Neodiprion lecontei: one gene and its partners. Each later gene encodes a partner of the first gene's protein in a complex. Links are inferred from orthologs where the notes say so. Each region holds a gene or a part of one and is shown in the gene's direction. Other genes may lie near its edges. The genes, in order: probable small nuclear ribonucleoprotein E, thioredoxin-like protein 4A, serine-threonine kinase receptor-associated protein and protein crooked neck.

Region 1 (3,085 bases):
CAGGTACCCCTTTTTCCGCGTGCCAGGGATTCGGAGAGAAAAAGAGTGAGTGAGTGAGTGAGAGAAAGAAGGGAAGATCGAGGGCGACGGCTAAAAAGGTGACATTCTTGAGTCCCCATCAATCTTCATTATTTTAATCTCGATGTATGGGCAAGAAGTGGTATCTGCACTATATATTATATATACGTGTACATGTATTACGGCTTCGCCGATACGGTTGGACGCGAAGGAAAGAGAAGGATAGAGCAAGGGGGAGAGATTTCATCCGGCATCGTTAGGCGTGAGTGAAATGTCGTTCCATGTCACTACCGTTAAACCTTAATCCTTTACGTGCCAGAAATTCGTAAAGCTCTTCTGTATAATTTCAGGCGATATGCGCATGCCGTAGTTGTAGGTATATAAGGCATTCTTGTATGAGTAAATATATATAATACATGTCCGGAGGTTAAAAGGTCTTTGTTTTCCGAGTGTCACAGGTCACGTAATGCTACGTTTAGCAGTAGGTATTGTTGCGCAGTATTCGTGGAGTTGCCTCTGATTCCACCAGCGTGAATCAAAGTTGAATGTTCAGCAGAAAGGTCGCGTATTACACTGTGGATGGAATACGCGTTGTGATTTATTGTATTCGCCACGTTGTTCAAATCGTTGTGGATAACGAATGGCAAAGCGATGTCATTGAGAAATTGAACATTTTTTATGTAGAAAAAAGTTACTTTTCTTCATATTTTCAGTAACGTGATTTATTTTGACATTTCGTTTAACTGTTTTTAAGTCGTTGCAAAAATGATCAGCTTCACATTTAACCGTTATTTTACGACAGAGTCAAAATAATTGTGTTGCAAAAAATTTGTGCGAAGAAATCTGAAAACTGGAACACATTTCTCTGTTCAATAAATAATTTTCACGAATCGCAGTTTTACAATTTTGACAAATATTTACTTGCACGAAAAAGTATTTACTTTTTGGACTAAGAATCCATGAAATTAAACTTACGTCATTTGCCAAATATTAACAATACGTATTTCGAAAATTTGCTTAGTCATGTGGACATTGAATTTTCAGATTTCCCATAAATTTGCAGCATAATATGGATATCTAATTAACATTTTTTTCACGAAATTCATGTACAATCACAATTTTTGGCTAGCTATCAAAAAGAAATACACAAATCTACAATGAAATTAAGAAAATTATTATATTTTTACAAAATGCTCATTTCTTGCTCATTTTCACCATATAAAAGTAACGTAATCGGTTACAACCATTCAAAAACGACTCATTGAAACGTTTTACATGCAACCATGTATTTTTTATTAAGTATAAATTGTTATTTGTCAGTTGATATCAATAAATTTCCATTAATAGATCGCTTGAATGAAGAAATTTTTATTAATAAAAAATTTCGTGAAATCTATTCAAATTTTAGCGCGTCGCGGTCATAAAATATAAAAGCATATGGCCGCTTTCCTTTTACGTCAATTTTCTGACACAACACAACACCAATTCATTTTATTGGCGTATTCCGTTAGATTCGACCAATGAAATCCCTTGACGTCGAGTTGTGTCAGAAAATCGACGTAAGATAACATTCCAAACTCGGCGACGATGCAACGATCCTTTATATCAACCGTAGTGTTGCTGCGCTAGTTCGACATGCTTCCACCAAACGGTGCGGCGTCACTTGCCGACGGGATTAAATAGCTTAAATTGAAAAAGTGCCGCCAGGCTCATCGCGGCGGCCATATTCGTTATTCAGATCCCAGCATACAACGCGTCGTGGTTTACGCGGTATCAACGTATCGGCCGAATTTGTTTAAAACTGAAGCTTACGCTTAAAAAAGTGACGGGCAATCTCAAAGACTCGCAAAAATGTCGTACAAAGGACCGCCAAAGGTGCAGAAGGTTATGGTGCAGCCGATAAACCTGATATTTCGATATCTGCAGAATCGCTCCCGAGTACAAGTCTGGCTCTTTGAAAACATCAACCTGAGGATCGAGGGTCACATTGTCGGTTTTGACGAGTACATGAATCTCGTCCTTGACGATGCCGAGGAGTATCACGTCAAAACGAAGAACAGAAAACAGCTGGGTAGGATAATGCTGAAGGGGGACAACATCACCCTTATTCAGAATACGAACCCCGGTGCGAACTAGAACGGGAAGAGAGAGCGGCAACATAACCTATCCTAACCTAAAAAATTAGAAACCGGCGCGCGCGGCGCGCATCGTTGGAAGTTCGGAGACAAGAACGACGGGAAAGAAGAGCGGCGAAGAGCGAAATTTGCTCAGGGTCGAAACCGTCGACGAACAAAGAACGCGACCACTTGTAATTTAAATAGTTTTAAAGCTTAGGATTAGGGCACAGTGTTTAATTGAATTTGTATTATTTCATTCCGATTCAGAACGAGTCGACTCATCTAGCATATTAACTTACTATGTACTCATCGAAATAATCAAATTGTAATATGCATATTTGCAAAAGTTTCAAATCAAGTATATAATATCTCTCTTTCTCGCTGTGATCAAATTCTCATCGCCTCGACTCGTTGTGTTCAATAAAAACAGTACAAATTTCACGTTGCGTGTGTTTATTCCTAGACTTATTTTATACCTGTTTTTTATCTACCTATTCTTTTACCTGAATCACTGATCGATTATTGTTTAAGGATTTAACAACACTGTACAAAAATCCAACTCCGTCGACTCGAGTCGCCTCTTAGTTAAAGAGGATATTCGAATTCTATGTCTTGTTCCATGCTTACCCGCACTTTGCTATGTACTCTAAGTCGCAATCGATCGAGCTTATTTGCACAGTTTAAAGTTACCTAAGTTGCTTGAAATCTTGAAATGTTACGTACGAAATTTCCATATTGGCAGCCAAATGAGTTTTCTATCAAAGATAGTCAATCAGAACTTTGTGTAGGTCCTTTTCTAGATACTCATGTGTCAGCAAAAAATAGAGGATTCAGGAGACGAAAGCATTCTAACAAATTGTAAATAATTGCTGACTGACAGAAAAATATTCATATCGAACTTCGAAATCCTAGGTTTCAAACAAAAGTGAGCAAAGACAGCATTTTTGTTC
Region 2 (3,276 bases), on another chromosome or scaffold:
CACCTGCATACTCAAGCTTATGCGATATATCATTCACTCGCACGCGGGTAAAAAGTAGCAGAAAATCAGATTCAATAGATTGGCACATTGTGTATACATTGAAATACAATTCGCTTCTTTTTCAGATACGCGACATAAAAATATCACCAGTAAACATTGGCCGAAAGGATATATTTCTCATTTGTCCTATTTTTTGTTACGCTTTGAGGGATAAATATTCACCGGTACTTTAATCATTGTTACAAACTTTGGACACAAAGCTTAAAAAGTTGAGTGATGCTATTCCTAATGTCAAATCACAGTGAGCCTGAAAAGTTGTAAAAGTGAAATGTTAAAGTAGTTATTACTTACATTAGGAGTAACTTCTCGCAGCCATTCATCAGCTTGTTCATCAAAATCGATTTTGCAAGCTAGACGAAGGTCGTTGGCAGCCTCCTCCCATTTTCCAAGTAATCTGTAAGCACGTCCCCTGAACTTGTGCGCGGCAGCACTATCTGGATTTATTTCAAGAGCACGATCACAATCGCGGATACAAGCATTGGGTTTGTTGAGCATCAAGTACAGTTGCCCGCGCTTTGCATACAGCAAAGAAGCTTGAGGGTTCAGTACAATAGCCTCTGTGTACAAAGACAGCGCCTTTTCATAGTTATTTTCGACAAAAGCGGACACTGCTTCGGAACGCTTTGCCTGAGACTCGGCCACTTCTTCCTCAGTTGGCTGAAGAGTAGGATTACCCATTTTCTGTGGGGCGTCTGTATCCGGTTCTAAAAATTAGATTTATTCGTTTGAAAATAACAAAACGGCTTCACAAGCTCAATAAATTAGAAAAAGAAATGACCAAATCTCACCGATGACACCAGTCGTATCAAGTTCGATATCACTTTCATCAGATTCCGGAGCTGGCTCAGGCTCAGGAATATTCGACTGGGCGGGTTGAGGTTTAAATTTCGGATACCCCGAGGTGTTGCTGCTTTTGGTATCTGGGACACTACCTCCGAAATGTTCGATGAAAGTTTTGACAAACGCGAGGTCCGGGAGGTGCAGGATCGAAGGGTTTTCAATGCACAAATCGGTGAACACTTTCAATTGAGCTAGATGCTCTTTACTGACAGGAGCAGCCATTTCGATATCTTTCTGGATAAGAAAATTTGTGAGTTAGAATCTGTAAGCTAACAATGTTGATGAGATTTTTCAACGATTTATATTGTCGTTTAACAGATCATTCATAATTGACATGTTTACCGAATAGTGTGTACAGCGAATCTAGAAAATTCCAATTGAAAAACCTTGACACATACGTATGCACGAATATTTGGTACCTATAAAAATCATTGTCCGAATGAACTAGGTGTCAAAATTACAAATGATCATCAATTTAGCACAGAGAAATGAATATTCAGAATAATCAAATATCGTCATAATATCACCAGGTCAACCGGTCTAACCGGCGTTGATAACAAACAGTCGTGACTCGTAAAAAATGCGGTCGTAACAAGATTCGTAAGCCCGTATAAAAATTACAGCGTGAATGTAGACTATTGAATCTCAAAAATACATTAATATTTTACAATTACGTGATTAAGCGTCGTTTATTACCTTGTTCACGGTGCGATGCGCAGTACTTATTTTACTTCAATCACAACAAAATGTGCGAAAAAAAAACGTCAGCAACTCACCTTCTTGAAGGCAGTGGAAGGTTGGTGGCTATCGAATGCTACACCGGCACATTTGAGAACGCAAACGCAGTTATCGTTGCAAGTTAACGCCGCTAGGGTCGCTAGTGCCTTGATGTGCTATATGTGTGCCACTGTAATTTGACGTTTCTGTACGTGTAAATATTTATTTTTCCCAGTTGTACGCAAATTGGGATTTAATTAATTACAAGAATAAATCAAACACCTTATAAAAATGTCGTATATGCTGGGTCACCTTCACAATGGATGGCAAGTGGATCAGGCAATTTTATCAGAAGAGGACCGAGTGGTCGTAAGTTCACGTCATCATAACCTAAAAATTCAGTCGTACAAAATCGTATGTTAATTACACATAACTAAGTTTAGTTGCTCACTTTTTTTTTTACATTTAATACGAACCGTCCTACTTCGATTTCTTTCAGGTGATCAGATTTGGCCACGATTGGGATCCAATGTGTATGAAAATGGATGAAGTCCTCTACAATATTGCAGAAAAAGTAAAAAACTTTGCAGTCATTTATCTAGTCGATATAACAGAGGTCCCAGACTTTAATAAAATGTAAGTATAACACTCTGCTGCTATAATATTTTCTTCAGTACTTCGCAAAGCTTCAGAATAATAACCACAGAATTTTTCTGAACTGTAGGTATGAGTTGTACGATCCATGCACGGTCATGTTCTTCTTCAGAAACAAGCATATAATGATTGATTTAGGCACTGGAAACAATAATAAAATCAATTGGACTTTAGAAGACAAACAGGAAATGATCGATATCATCGAAACGGTTTATCGGGGCGCTAGAAAAGGCAGAGGTTTGGTTGTTTCGCCAAAAGATTATTCAACAAAGTATCGCTATTAATTACATTATGCAGCAAAAAGATTTGAATATATGTTTCGAATATATGATGTTGTTTTACATTAAAACATAAATTAATCATCATTAGTTGTATACAGCTTAGGTATTATTTAACAGTTACAGAATGATGATGAATTTGTACCGTCACATGTAAATAAACTGAAATTTTTCATTTAAATTTATTTCTGGATCTGTCTTTATACCGCTTTTATGCCGTTTTTATACCAATTTAACGAAACTTAGCCGATACCTGGTAAAAATAGTTTAGCTCTATTCAAATCTTTTGTAATTATTTAATAAAAATATTAAACATCAGTTCCAAATATAGATTATCTTAACGTTAAACTATGTACAATATATTGATGCAATACATTTTCCACATCTTATCTACAAAGGCCACTGTTATTTCCATCATCTTATTCAGTACGTCCAATAACGGAGTATAAAATTGTTAAAATTTTCATCTTTGGTACATTATTCGTGTATTATCACACTTGAATGATGGCACATCCTCAGTTGTAAGGACATAACAAAAACTAACCAAGATTACCAATAAATAATAAAAATAACCATCGAAGCAATAAAACGCGACATAGCAACTTATGTTCCAATGTCCAGTTAGTTGTTTCAATTATGAGTATAAGTATAGTTAGAAACAAGATGGCAGTAAGAATTTCTTCATGAATTCAAATAATAAATACTCTCGAATGTAATTTGAAATGTG
Region 3 (6,287 bases), on another chromosome or scaffold:
ACGCTCCGTAGCATCGGAACGAAATAATTTCTGTAATAAAATAGGTGTGCGAGGGAATAATTTTTCATCGATTTACGAATTACGATTTTTCAATTTACGATACATGAAGTATATTTTTTATGACCGTTAATTAACGCTGGGTCTCAGATTCACCCAAGTTATCAGCGAGCGCGAAACTCATGTATAAAATTTGCACGTGTATCGGTGTGTTTTAATTAATATGAAGAACCTCGCAAAGAGTTTCTATCGGCGTGAAGTCAGCCACCCCCCTCTGCATATATTTCTGCAATCTGCTGATACAAATATATATCCTCTTTATCTAGAACATTGAGATTTAATTAAAATAGCTTGCTTTCAGTTACGCATCGATGCCTGATTCGCGATCGGATGCCACGTTTCGCGGCGCTAATTAGATTTCGTTATTATTCTACTTCGTGTTTTACTTCGACGATTAGGCAGACTTTTGGAATATTTTTTCTCCCGTAAAAATGAATAGTCATAAAAAATGACTATTGCGTGTAAATCATTTTTACTGGCGGTGATAAGAATCCATAGAACGATTCGACAGGTCATTATAGCAGATGTAGAATGACGCGTATGAATTCTTTGGATTCTCCGGCGTATGCAGTGTACGGTATATTCGCTTAATTTATATCCCAAATAACCCCGAAACCTAGTTCATTTCTCGTCTAATTTCTTGCAAATAAAGTTTCCCCGTACAGTCCTTCGAAATGAAGAACATTCTTCACTGGCCCGCGGGATATCAATGTCACCGTAATTTTCCGGCCATTCAAATTAAACCCGTTTTCACGCTGACTCGCATTTCAACCCTTGAAATTTTAGAGGCGAGGGGAACCGGAAAAATGATAGGCTTATATTCTCATGTCTTGAGTGAAATCTCTTTAATGCGAACTGCACATGTACGTACATTTTCTCTGTAGTAAATGAAATAGAACTTTTTAATTCTATTTTTAAAGATACATCGGACTGAATAAAATTAAGGAGAACATCTACCCTCGAGTGAATTCTTTCATTTACCTTCCGATCCTAATTTTTTTCGTTATTTTCGTATTATTCATACTATGGACGGTTGTAAATGCGCAAAAAAATCATTTACAATCATCTGCAAGATTGATATTGCATGCAATCGTTTAAAGACCGTCCCTGATCAACCTTATAAGTAATACTTCTTGCACAATTGCAACGTCATTCATCATTCTAGCGAAAAAATACCAAAGATATTTAGAAGATAATTCCAAATCTTTTTTTTAAATATTCTTACACGTACTGAATGCCTTGAAGAACTAGGCATACATTTTTCTAGGATATAACAAACGACTGCAACGCTATCATTTAATTCTTTAAAAACAGTCTTGCGTTAGTCATTTTCAAAGTGCTGTAACACCTTCCTAAATGAATACAAATAATTGTTTAAGGATTCTGAATAATCGCCTATAAAATGCTTGTAAAGTTTGAAGAAAAAATCCGAAAGTATACAAGTCCATTTTCTAAATTTTTTTTTGTTTTTACGGATTGGGGCTCCTGCAGGCAGACAACTGGTATTACTGTCCGCGTTAATGTATATATGGTTGCTAGGTTCCAGGGGTAGCGACCAACTTCGAACTTTCATAATTCTAATCTGGTAAACTTTTTCTCATTAAATCCAGACCTGATCGTGTGTACACGAGTACCATAAACCGGAGCAGAAAATTACCGGAACAAGTTCGCCTTGGGATGCATTATAATCATTGCAGATTCGTTATTTAAAAATGTCACGTTCGAAAACAGCCGAGTCGCACAAAGAGGCTGCCCTGACAGCGTCCTTTCGCGTTGTGTGTGCGCGTCGCGATCTGCGTTTTACTACCGGTTAAAAAATAAAAGACATAGAAGTTGCAGTGTGGGGCGTCAAGTTTGGATAGAAATTTCATGGTCGGTCCATGAAAGCGTCGTCGTTGCACTTCGCAGTTGCAGGGAGGACTGGCGGCCATGATTTCCTGGCCAAAGACCCTGAAGTCTGAACTTGGCTGCGTATCGCGTCGAGTCGAGTCGAGTCGTCAGTCAGTCGGTCAGATCGTTTCGATTATTACCACCGACTACGGGCTTCAAGAATAAGAGACAAGATAGTAAACGTCTACGAGCGTCAAGACGGCGAAGCATCGTGTGCGAGAGGCCGTTGCGTCTCCACAACGAGGAATCGGCGCCGAAAAATACAAAAAAACTTCCAGTAAACTTAACTCTCGTCATTGTGCGTTGATATTTAGTGCGCGCTTTACGGCGACAGCGTGCGTTTCATATCAACACGTTAAAATATAAATGATGGCGAATTTGAGGCAGACACCGTTAACCTGTAGCGGGCATACGAGACCCGTCGTTCATCTAGCCTTTTCCGATGTTACGGAGTCCGGCTACTACCTAATTTCGGCGTGCAAAGGTAAGGATAAATAACGCCTCGATTACGCGCTTATGCGCTTCCGAATCCACTCATTTCTCCCGTCAATCTGGAATTGAATTATTTCTTCATCGTCATATTTCGCCTTTTCGTTAGACACTCTTAGGTTTTACCTGTCATTTATGCCTGTTTTTTCGCAAAATTCCTCTTCTTCCTCAATTCCTTACCCCTCCTCTTCTCCTCCTCTTCAAACAATGTTTTATTTTTTTTTCCCTCTTTCACGCTTTGGCTGTCCATTCCATTCTGGTTCGCCTTGGCCTAGTTTCAAACGATATGCCCAAGGCCCAGGCTACACTCGTGTACAGAGGCACATGCACAAGGTGCACATGGACGCTGCACGCTTTATGCTACAAGCTTTATCAGCGTGTCGGCGAATTCTTGTTGCCAATGAGAAAAAATCAATAAATTAGAAATAAGTTCGATAGAAAAATTTTACAGCCTCATAGCTGAGCGTACCGATTCCTACCTACCTATTGTCGCCAGACGTGTCGCATGCGGGATCATCCCTCACATCTACGGTGTCTGACCCCGAACTAAACCTTAGAAATGCATGCCTAATAATCCCACTCCCCCACCTCTCTCAACGTCGTCTCTATTTTGTATAGAAGAAATTACCACTATATGGCTAAAATCTAGGATATATCATCGTAGTACACATTGACAAACATTCTAGTGAGCCGAATATTTGTAAAATGGGAAGAAAAATGAGTATATGAATATGTCAGCGGTAACAAAATATGAATAATTATTTACAGATGGAAAGCCGATGCTGCGGCAGGGCGACACTGGGGATTGGATCGGCACGTTTGAGGGGCACAAAGGGGCAGTGTGGGGTGTCGCTTTGAACCCACAGGCCACCAGAGCAGCTACAGGCGCTGCGGACTTCAATGCCAAGGTGTGGGACGCGATAAAGGGTGAAGAAATTCACTCCTTTCAGCACAAGCATATAGTTAAGTCTGTCAACTTCAGTTCTGACTCAAATTACCTGTGTACTGGTTCCAATGAAAAGCTAGTCAAAATCTACGATCTAAACAAGCCGGAAGCAACGCCGCAAGTGAGTATAAATTTGTTTGGAATATAAAAATCCAAAGACAATTGGGAAAGTATAACTTGACTACTAATTACGTATTTTATTACCCTGCAGATATTTTCCGGTCACACTAGTGGCATAAGGCATGTAACTTTTTTCAAAAATGATACCGCTTTGGTTACCTGTGCCGATGACAAAAGCCTGCGTTTGTGGGATAGAAACAGCGGGCAAGAAGTGAAAAGACTCGATTTTCCAGCTACACCCAGCTCGATGGAAGTCTCCAGAGATGGCAACATCATTACGACAACTCATTCTAACGTCGTCACGTTTTGGGATAGCAAAGAGTGAGTATTAACCCTCTCTCCGCCCGACTTGGATTCCAAGTTCAATTATAATTCTGCATCGCCGATTGTCGTATGAAAAAAAGTAAATAATCTCTGAGGCAGTCAACAACGCAAGAAATTCCGATTTGCAGCCGTTGAATATTGTAGATTTCATCGGCTCAGAAAAGATTAGAGGTAACGGTACATACCTAACATGAACTTTCATTGCGCTGTATCGAGTGCAACAGGAACAGAGGTATTTGCCATGAAAGATATCCAGCCATTTATGGATGTACAAGGTCTGGTTCCGTGCCAGAGTGGACAGTTTTTACTTTCAAATAATGAAGACCATTTTACTTCCTGATCAGCAATGTCCCTGGCTTGAACAGCCATGGCCTAGAAGGAAGTTGGGCTCTTGTACATTTATTTTCATCTCCTGGTAAAGAGAACTACTTGCAATTGGCACAGGCAACTTGTTTACAACACGAGGAAGGAGAATAATGCATCGGCATTACTCGTTTTCTTTTTTTTTTTCATCTGCCATTTCTTCCAGAATTAGCAGAAAAAATATTGCTGCATTGAAAAGTTTGTATCCTACTCACCTGACTCGATTTGTTGATTGCAGGTTGACCAAGATCCGAGAGTTTATTGTTCCTACTCAAGTGAACAGCGCAAGTTTACATCCAGACTGCAGCATATTTGTATGCGGAGGAGAAGATCTGAAAATGTACAAATTCGATTACAGCACTGGAGCAGAAATCGGTACGGTATTTAACATTTATCAATGTTCCTACTTTACTTCATAAAATTCTTCCCTAAGCGTATAAGTACATTTTCTGTTTACCTACACTCATTATTCATTCTCGCAGCAGCAAACCGCAATTAGTAATTCTCTCATCAGCCAACAACGGAATGACAATACAGAACTGAGGTCACAGCATGCAGCATGCCTGGGCGTTTATAATATAAGGCCATTCTTAAGAGGCTTCAATCCTGTGCCTTATTTCCCCTTGAACTTCGTGCATTTAACTGATTTTTAGAAAAATTCTTCATAGTTTATAGTGACGAAATTTTTCCTCACGATGTGGTGTTTTTTATTTTTTTATGTTTACAGAATCTTTCAAGGGACATTTTGGGCCTGTTCACTGCGTTCGGTTTTCTCCGGATGGTGAATTATACGCGAGCGGATCTGAGGATGGGACGCTGAGGCTTTGGCAAACTACCGTTGGAAAAACCTACGGCCTATGGCGTTGTATCGAACAAACTCCAATGATTCCAGAAAATGCTGTACTCAATAACAAGCAAGAGGTCTCGGCAAGCTAAACGCCATATCTCAATTCATACCTCAGATGATAGTCTTGACCGTTAGATTATTCCAGGATGAATTTTGACGCGGGGATAAACGTCTGGCAACAATAAAAATTCCAAATTCCGTGATAACAGACGCGCGAAATCCTTCAAAATAAATTTTAGAAGAAAACCAAATTATATATCTAATTAATTTGAAGGTTGGTGTCTTCGGAATTGAAAATTTGCTCGTCATCATCAAGCATAAAAGTGTGAAATAGGAGAATATGAAAAATGAACGTTGAGAAACTTGTATTTGTTGGAATAAGTTTCATAATATTCCAAAGCTCTTGGTTGCGTTTGAATATGTTCTCAAGATTTACAGTTATCGCAATCTTAAAAGTTTATTGAACAACCATCAAGCTTCTTTTCAGATTTTACTCATCTCGATATCGTTTCTATTAGAACGGCTTTTCCTAAAGAGCTGAGCGGAAAAGCGATTAAGAAGCAAAAGTGACCTTACGTTAATTCGTGTCATATCGGTGACTCTGTATGAGAAGCTTTTGAACTACGAGTTTGTATTTATTAATTTTTTTCACTTGAATGAGACATGCAGTATAGTTATAATGCCATATAAACTATATTGTACACCTTTTTTTTCAAAAGCAGAAAAATAAAAGAAAATTAAAAAAATTTCCCGTATCGAAGGATAATTCAAACTGTATTTTCGCTTGGGGAAGCTTATGAAGAAATCTTCTGTACATAATATTCATGCTCATATTTATAAGGTCCCGAAAATATAGTTGTAATAATCGTTCGTCTGTACGTTTTTTTTTCTTAAGCACCTCAATGATCTATAAAAAGATGTGAAATAAAAAAGTCTAATAAACAACTGAATCAGCTAAATCATCCTAATCATTGAATTATATTCGTCGTTATGCGTTCGTTAGGGATCTGAATTTTTTTTTTTCATTATCAAGAATACTGTACGAGAATAACATTACTTCCGAATCGTATACGTCCAAAATACAATATGTTACAGTCGAATGAAATCGTATTACATGATGATGAACCGAATAAAGACGAAACTATTACCTGTGTATTTTAGAAAAAAATAATAATTAAAATTTATTATTAATATACACATACACGTGATATCATATCTATGTGTATAGTGTTACTATGAGAATTTGTAGCG
Region 4 (5,841 bases), on another chromosome or scaffold:
GTACAACTAATTTTCGAGATATTCTGAACAGTAAATGGGGGTCGGTTACCGATTGGCAGTCTACCGTGCCATGCCATAAAACCAGTTGATGATACAAAGAGTATATTTACCATAGCGAAGTGCCCCTGTAGTGATAAAAATTGAGCAAATCACAATTACTGCAGCATTAATTTCTTATTAGCAAACTTTGTACACTTTGAATTGACGGTAAAATATTGTCAATATTATCATAATTTGAGGTCGTTTCAGTACGCAGCATTCTAGTCTGACTTCACGACCAAGATTGACTACAAGTTTTTTGTATCGTTTCATTGTGAGTTAATTTCGGTACTCCACGTTTTTACTTAGAGTTTTTATATTTAAAATGTTTTTAGTCCGGATATGTATTTACCGGGATTTACTCTGATTAAACTAAGAAAATCCAAGTTCATCACGATTCCATACGCGCTATAGAATATTAAAATATCAGTTTTGTACTCACAATTAGGAGATGAGATCGGATTTTAGCAGGATCTGTGACCGGTGCCATCTCTGTATAAACAATCGACGATCGACAAACAATCCAGGTGACGCCACAAAAACTTCACGGTCGAATTTTCGCGTGCACTCCTACCGAAAGTATTCATAATTACCAGAGTGAAAGACGTATTGTGCAAAACGTTTGTCATTGTTTTACTTTTCTTAATTCCATACGCGTTATAGAATATTAAAGCATCAGTTTTGTACTCACAATTAGGAGATGCAATCAGATTCTAGCGGGATCTGTGACCGGTGGCATCTCTGGATAAACAATCGACGATCGACAAACAATTCAGGTGACGTCACAAAAACTTAACGGTCGAATTTTCGCGAACACTCCTATCGAAAGTATTCGTCGTTACCAGTGAAAAACGTATTGTGCAAAAAAATTGCCATTGTTTTACTTTGTATTTGTGACTCGTTACGTGGTGAGATTCCTACGGTGTATAATCGAGCAACTGACACCGCGAAGGCTCTGCAGCTATTGAAATCTTCCGTTTGGAGTTTGGCTCGTTGTGGCGTGAACTCGGGTAAGATTCGAAATTACTTATTTTACTCATTCCCCGATGTTTTTGTACCCAGTTTTTGCAGTCAAAATGTTCGACACGATCGAGCGCAGTGTTATTTCAAACTGAAATTTGACCGAATTTCGAATCTTTGTAAGAATTATTCTATCATCTAACAATAAGATTTGTTTCTGGACACGTTTCGTTACCCACGGTCTTTAGCGAGAGCGGTATAATCAATTGTCAGCCGTGTTCTGCGAAACTGTTACATGTGCCGTCTCATATATTTTTCAATCTGATTTTTATAAACGTATTACAATTTCACAATGGACGATATTGGCAGAGCCATTTCGAAAAAATTGAACATACATGATGCAGCGTAATTATACACATATCTCTAGTCTTTACTCTTCAGGTGTTAATTAATTAATATTTCGGGGTTTGATTTTTCATCGGGAAGCTTTATTTTTCCTGGGCTACAGAACAATAGTGATGCAATTACAATTTTGAAAATAAATCAGCACGAGCATTCAGTTCTCCTTGAGTGTGAATTAGGTACGTTAATGTGTTGACTCTTCTTGAAAAGTTATGTTTGAAATTTTTAAGCGATCAAGTGCGTGAATTTTACGCTTAGTGATCTGAGCAGAAACTGCGTACTTTCGATACGTTCTATGATGGACGCGCTCTCACATTTTTACATCGTTCGTGACCGTGTCAACGTTTGTCGGAGCAAGTGTGTGTACTCGAAAAGAATTTGCCAAACAATAATGAAATAATAACACGTTTATGCCATAACTATTGAATTGATATCGTGAAACTAATACGTTCATCATGGAAAAGCCACAGAAAATGCCAAAAGTGGCAAAGGTAAGTTTCCCTATTATTATTTTTCGACTTTAGGTTAGGAAAGAGGTTAGTGTTTACTGCATCTAGAAAATTTTCTGATGCATTTTTCTATCACAAGCGTATAATTGTCAATGTATTAAACCGTGTATTTTGTACATCACCGATGCATCCAGGTAAAAAATAAAGCACCTGCAGAGATTCAAATCACCGCTGAACAGCTGCTCCGGGAGGCCAAGGAAAGAGACTTGGAAATATTACCACCGGTAAGTTGAGTTAAATTACCCTTGATTAAAAAAAGTTGATCAAATAAATTAATAATTTACTTTTTCATGTTCATAAAGCCACCAAAACAAAAAATCTCCGATCCACATGAGTTGGCCGATTACCAGCATCGCAAACGGAAAGCATTCGAGGACAATATACGAAAGAATCGTACGGTAATATCCAACTGGATAAAATACGCACAATGGGAAGAAAGTCAGAAGCAGATACAGAGAGCACGGTAAGCTATAACACATTAGTCGTTTAAAACATTCATGTGATATATGGTGAAATGCTAATGGTTACAAAAATTATTTTTAAACCTGTATGTTTACATTTCAGATCAATATACGAGCGTGCACTGGACGTAGATCATCGAAATATAACACTATGGTTAAAGTATACAGAAATGGAAATGCGGAATCGGCAGGTAAACCATGCCAGGAATTTATGGGACCGCGCTGTGACGATTCTGCCAAGAGCAAATCAATTCTGGTACAAATATACATACATGGAAGAAATGCTGGAAAATATTGCAGGTAATGTCTTGAAGCTTATAATCAGCATACGCAGAGAAATAACTAGATTAAATTTGATAAAGAAATGTATCACTGTGCATTTGGGTAACCAGATTGGATTTTATTTCATCCTTAGGAGCCCGCCAAGTGTTCGAACGTTGGATGGAATGGGAACCTGATGAACAGGCCTGGCAAACTTATATAAAATTTGAGTTACGATACAAAGAAATAGACCGAGCACGTTATATTTATGAACGTTTTGTTATGGTACATCCCGATGTAAAGCATTGGATAAAATATGCTAGGTTTGAAGAGACTCATGGCTTCTTAAACGGTGCTCGTAATGTATTCGAACGTGCAGTCACTTTCTATGGCGACGAAAGTTTAGATGAAAAACTGTTCGTTGCTTTTGCTAGGTTTGAGGAAGGTCAGAGAGAGGTAAGATTTGAGTTATCTGAATTTGACTTGGCGATATGTCAAGAGTGGTCTGTAGAAATAATCAGAAAAATTCACATCAAACGATGTAAATTCAAATTTTTGCAACTTTCAGCATGATCGTGCGCGAGTCATATATAAGTATGCTTTGGACCACATTCCAAAAGATCGAACTCAAGAAGTATACAAAGCTTACACGATACATGAAAAGAAATATGGTGATCGATCAGGTAATATTTTATTTTTTTTTTTTTATAATTTTCCATATGCTTTTAGAGAACTCAGTCAATTGAGGAATTTTACATGAAAAATAATTACGGTAGATTTTTAACTATTAATGAATGTACAGGTATTGAAGATGTCATTGTGAGTAAAAGAAAGCATCAGTATGAACAGGAGGTCAAAGAGAATCCATCTAATTATGACGCGTGGTTTGATTATTTACGATTAGTTGAGTCTGAAACTGATATAGACCTTGTCAGGGAAACTTATGAACGTGCAATAGCTAATGTACCGCCCACAAAGGTGAATTCAACATTGAACATGAAACATTATTTTTAACACTCAAGTACTTGGTTTAGACTACAACTTTTTATTAATATGCACAGGAAAAACAATATTGGCGAAGATATATTTACTTGTGGATAAATTACGCATTGTTTGAAGAACTCGAAACTGAGGATATAGAAAGATGTCGTCAAGTATACAGAGCCTGTCTTGAATTAATCCCACACAAGCAGTTCACATTCTCAAAAATATGGCTGCTTTATGCCCACTTTGAAATCAGACAAAAAAATTTACAAGTAGCAAGAAAAATGCTAGTAAGTGAAAAATTTTATTACGAGTATTTTATTATGAATCTAATCGGAGTTTATTTTTCTTATAGTTATCTTTCTTCAACAGGGTATGGCTCTGGGTATGTCTCCAAGAGATAAACTATTTCGAGGCTACATAGATTTGGAAATTCAACTTCGAGAGTTCGATAGATGCAGAATATTATACCAGAAGTTTCTTGAATTTGGCCCAGAGAATTGCACTACTTGGATGAAGGTTTGTATTCCTATTTCTCCTTTAGCACGACGTTCAGCAAAACAAGTGCTTGATTAATTAATTTGAAGTATTTGTTTCAGTTTGCAGAACTTGAGACTCTTCTGGGTGATGTTGATCGAGCCCGGGCAATTTATGAATTAGCAGTCACTCAACCGAGGTATGTCATGTAATTACAGTATTGTCACATAGCAATCCACAATATATATCTATTTATTTTTCATGCGATCACATAGTGTTTCATATTTTGACAAATGCTATAATCCGCTAATTGTTCTCCAAAATAGATTGGACATGCCAGAACTATTATGGAAATCATACATAGATTTCGAAATATCTCAAGAAGAAACAGAAAATGCAAGACAACTATTTGAGAGACTTTTGGAACGTACAATGCACGTTAAAGTAAGTTCTTATTTATATGAATGTATTTTATTAAACAATGATAAGCAGCAACGAGAATTTAAATTTCCTGGTACTTGGTTAAATGCTTGACAATCTTTGTTTTGACAGGTATGGATAGCGTATGCCAAGTTTGAATTGGGAAATTATGTGACAGACGATGGTCCGGATAACATAGCATTGGCACGACGTGTCTTTGAGCGAGGTAATGATGCACTGCGGACAAATGGAGATAAAGAAAGTCGTGCATTGCTTTTGGAAGCATGGCGAGACTTTGAAACTGAAAAAGGTGACGAAGATAGTCAGGCGAAAATTATGGATAAAATGCCACGGAGAATCAAAAGACGCAGACGAATCGTTGGAGATGATGGAGTAAGCGCGTTACTTATTTTTCGAGAAAGAATAATGGTTCTCATTAGATGCAAACAGTTGAATATAATCCTTATTTAGTAATAAGCTGAACTTTATACTACACAATAATTGTTTTTTACAGGCAGAAGAAGGTTGGGAGGAGGTATTTGATTTTGTTTTTCCAGAAGACGAGTCTCAGAGGCCTAATCTCAAACTATTGGCTTCTGCAAAAGCATGGAAAAAACAAAAAGAAGCTACCCAAGATACGGTTTCAAATGGTACCACAGTATTGTCAGAAACCACGCCGAGTTAACCCAATCAAATCGTTTACGATTTTTTATCTCATTGTAAATTTTTCAACTGATTGTGAATCTTGCAATAAAATGTATTTCGAAAGTAACAATTTTTGGTATGTTCAAGTGTGTAATTCACCATAGAAAATTCCCGTATCAAATTGTTTTTACGTTTCAGAAAACGTTACTGAAACCTCAAAATTTGCATTCAAATTTTCTATGCCCCTGTACGTTTCAATGTGATTTCCTGTCTGCCACCCGAATCTATACATATTATGAGCAAGGGATCGTATTTTTCGTGTACAGTTTTAGTGAAGATAGTCATAGACAATATTCAAATCCATAAGTTTTCATTCTTAAAAATCATTTAAATTACATTTATTCGTACGTATTATCAAAATTTATCAGTACATGACGAAATACTATAATACAATAATAGTGTTCCCTACTTCTCGTATCTGAAACAGAGAAATGCTGAGCACGACTCAAAGATTCATGAATTTCATATACAACATACCAATATGGTATTTGACACATATAAAAAAACATTCGCACTCGTACCTTTCGCTTAATTTCCAACATAAATTAATTGGTTATTCGAACAATCAATGTATATAAATTGTTTGAGGTCATGTAAATAGTGGTTCAAACAAGTTTCAGATT

Evidence for each region.
Region 2: probable small nuclear ribonucleoprotein E (region 1) and thioredoxin-like protein 4A share a complex: the UniProt entries of both Homo sapiens proteins name them as parts of the U4/U6-U5 tri-snRNP complex. The link is inferred for Neodiprion lecontei from reciprocal best matches to the Homo sapiens genes SNRPE and TXNL4A.
Region 3: probable small nuclear ribonucleoprotein E (region 1) and serine-threonine kinase receptor-associated protein share a complex: the UniProt entries of both Homo sapiens proteins name them as parts of the SMN-Sm complex. The link is inferred for Neodiprion lecontei from reciprocal best matches to the Homo sapiens genes SNRPE and STRAP.
Region 4: probable small nuclear ribonucleoprotein E (region 1) and protein crooked neck share a complex: the UniProt entries of both Homo sapiens proteins name them as parts of the minor spliceosome. The link is inferred for Neodiprion lecontei from reciprocal best matches to the Homo sapiens genes SNRPE and CRNKL1.

What each region holds. Positions count from the first base shown.
Region 1 is NC_060262.1:5,978,338-5,981,422, reverse strand, and holds probable small nuclear ribonucleoprotein E, read left to right. Parts: upstream 1-1,738; 5' UTR 1,739-1,869; coding exon 1,870-2,154; 3' UTR 2,155-2,576; downstream 2,577-3,085. UniProt on the Homo sapiens protein: Plays a role in pre-mRNA splicing as a core component of the spliceosomal U1, U2, U4 and U5 small nuclear ribonucleoproteins (snRNPs), the building blocks of the spliceosome.
Region 2 is NC_060265.1:6,864,998-6,868,273, reverse strand, and holds thioredoxin-like protein 4A, read left to right. Parts: upstream 1-1,908; coding exon 1,909-2,031; intron 2,032-2,116; coding exon 2,117-2,253; intron 2,254-2,341; coding exon 2,342-2,555; 3' UTR 2,556-2,734; downstream 2,735-3,276. Other genes in the region: hsc70-interacting protein, read right to left, coding at 352-764, 849-1,122. UniProt on the Homo sapiens protein: Plays a role in pre-mRNA splicing as component of the U5 snRNP and U4/U6-U5 tri-snRNP complexes that are involved in spliceosome assembly, and as component of the precatalytic spliceosome (spliceosome B complex).
Region 3 is NC_060261.1:3,933,969-3,940,255, reverse strand, and holds serine-threonine kinase receptor-associated protein, read left to right. Parts: upstream 1-1,824; 5' UTR 1,825-2,313; coding exon 2,314-2,431; exon of another isoform or gene 2,432-2,498; intron 2,499-2,562; exon of another isoform or gene 2,563-2,826; intron 2,827-2,919; exon of another isoform or gene 2,920-2,967; intron 2,968-3,204; coding exon 3,205-3,503; intron 3,504-3,593; coding exon 3,594-3,823; exon of another isoform or gene 3,824-3,876; intron 3,877-4,011; exon of another isoform or gene 4,012-4,198; intron 4,199-4,404; exon of another isoform or gene 4,405-4,427; coding exon 4,428-4,564; intron 4,565-4,916; coding exon 4,917-5,125; 3' UTR 5,126-5,757; downstream 5,758-6,287. UniProt on the Homo sapiens protein: The SMN complex catalyzes the assembly of small nuclear ribonucleoproteins (snRNPs), the building blocks of the spliceosome, and thereby plays an important role in the splicing of cellular pre-mRNAs.
Region 4 is NC_060265.1:25,631,282-25,637,122, reverse strand, and holds protein crooked neck, read left to right. Parts: upstream 1-1,678; 5' UTR 1,679-1,856; coding exon 1,857-1,892; intron 1,893-2,044; coding exon 2,045-2,134; intron 2,135-2,212; coding exon 2,213-2,373; intron 2,374-2,474; coding exon 2,475-2,671; intron 2,672-2,786; coding exon 2,787-3,088; intron 3,089-3,200; coding exon 3,201-3,315; intron 3,316-3,434; coding exon 3,435-3,610; intron 3,611-3,693; coding exon 3,694-3,906; intron 3,907-3,988; coding exon 3,989-4,135; intron 4,136-4,215; coding exon 4,216-4,292; intron 4,293-4,419; coding exon 4,420-4,537; intron 4,538-4,645; coding exon 4,646-4,906; intron 4,907-5,027; coding exon 5,028-5,198; 3' UTR 5,199-5,285; downstream 5,286-5,841. Other genes in the region: uncharacterized protein LOC124294976, read right to left, coding at 482-529. UniProt on the Homo sapiens protein: Involved in pre-mRNA splicing process. As a component of the minor spliceosome, involved in the splicing of U12-type introns in pre-mRNAs.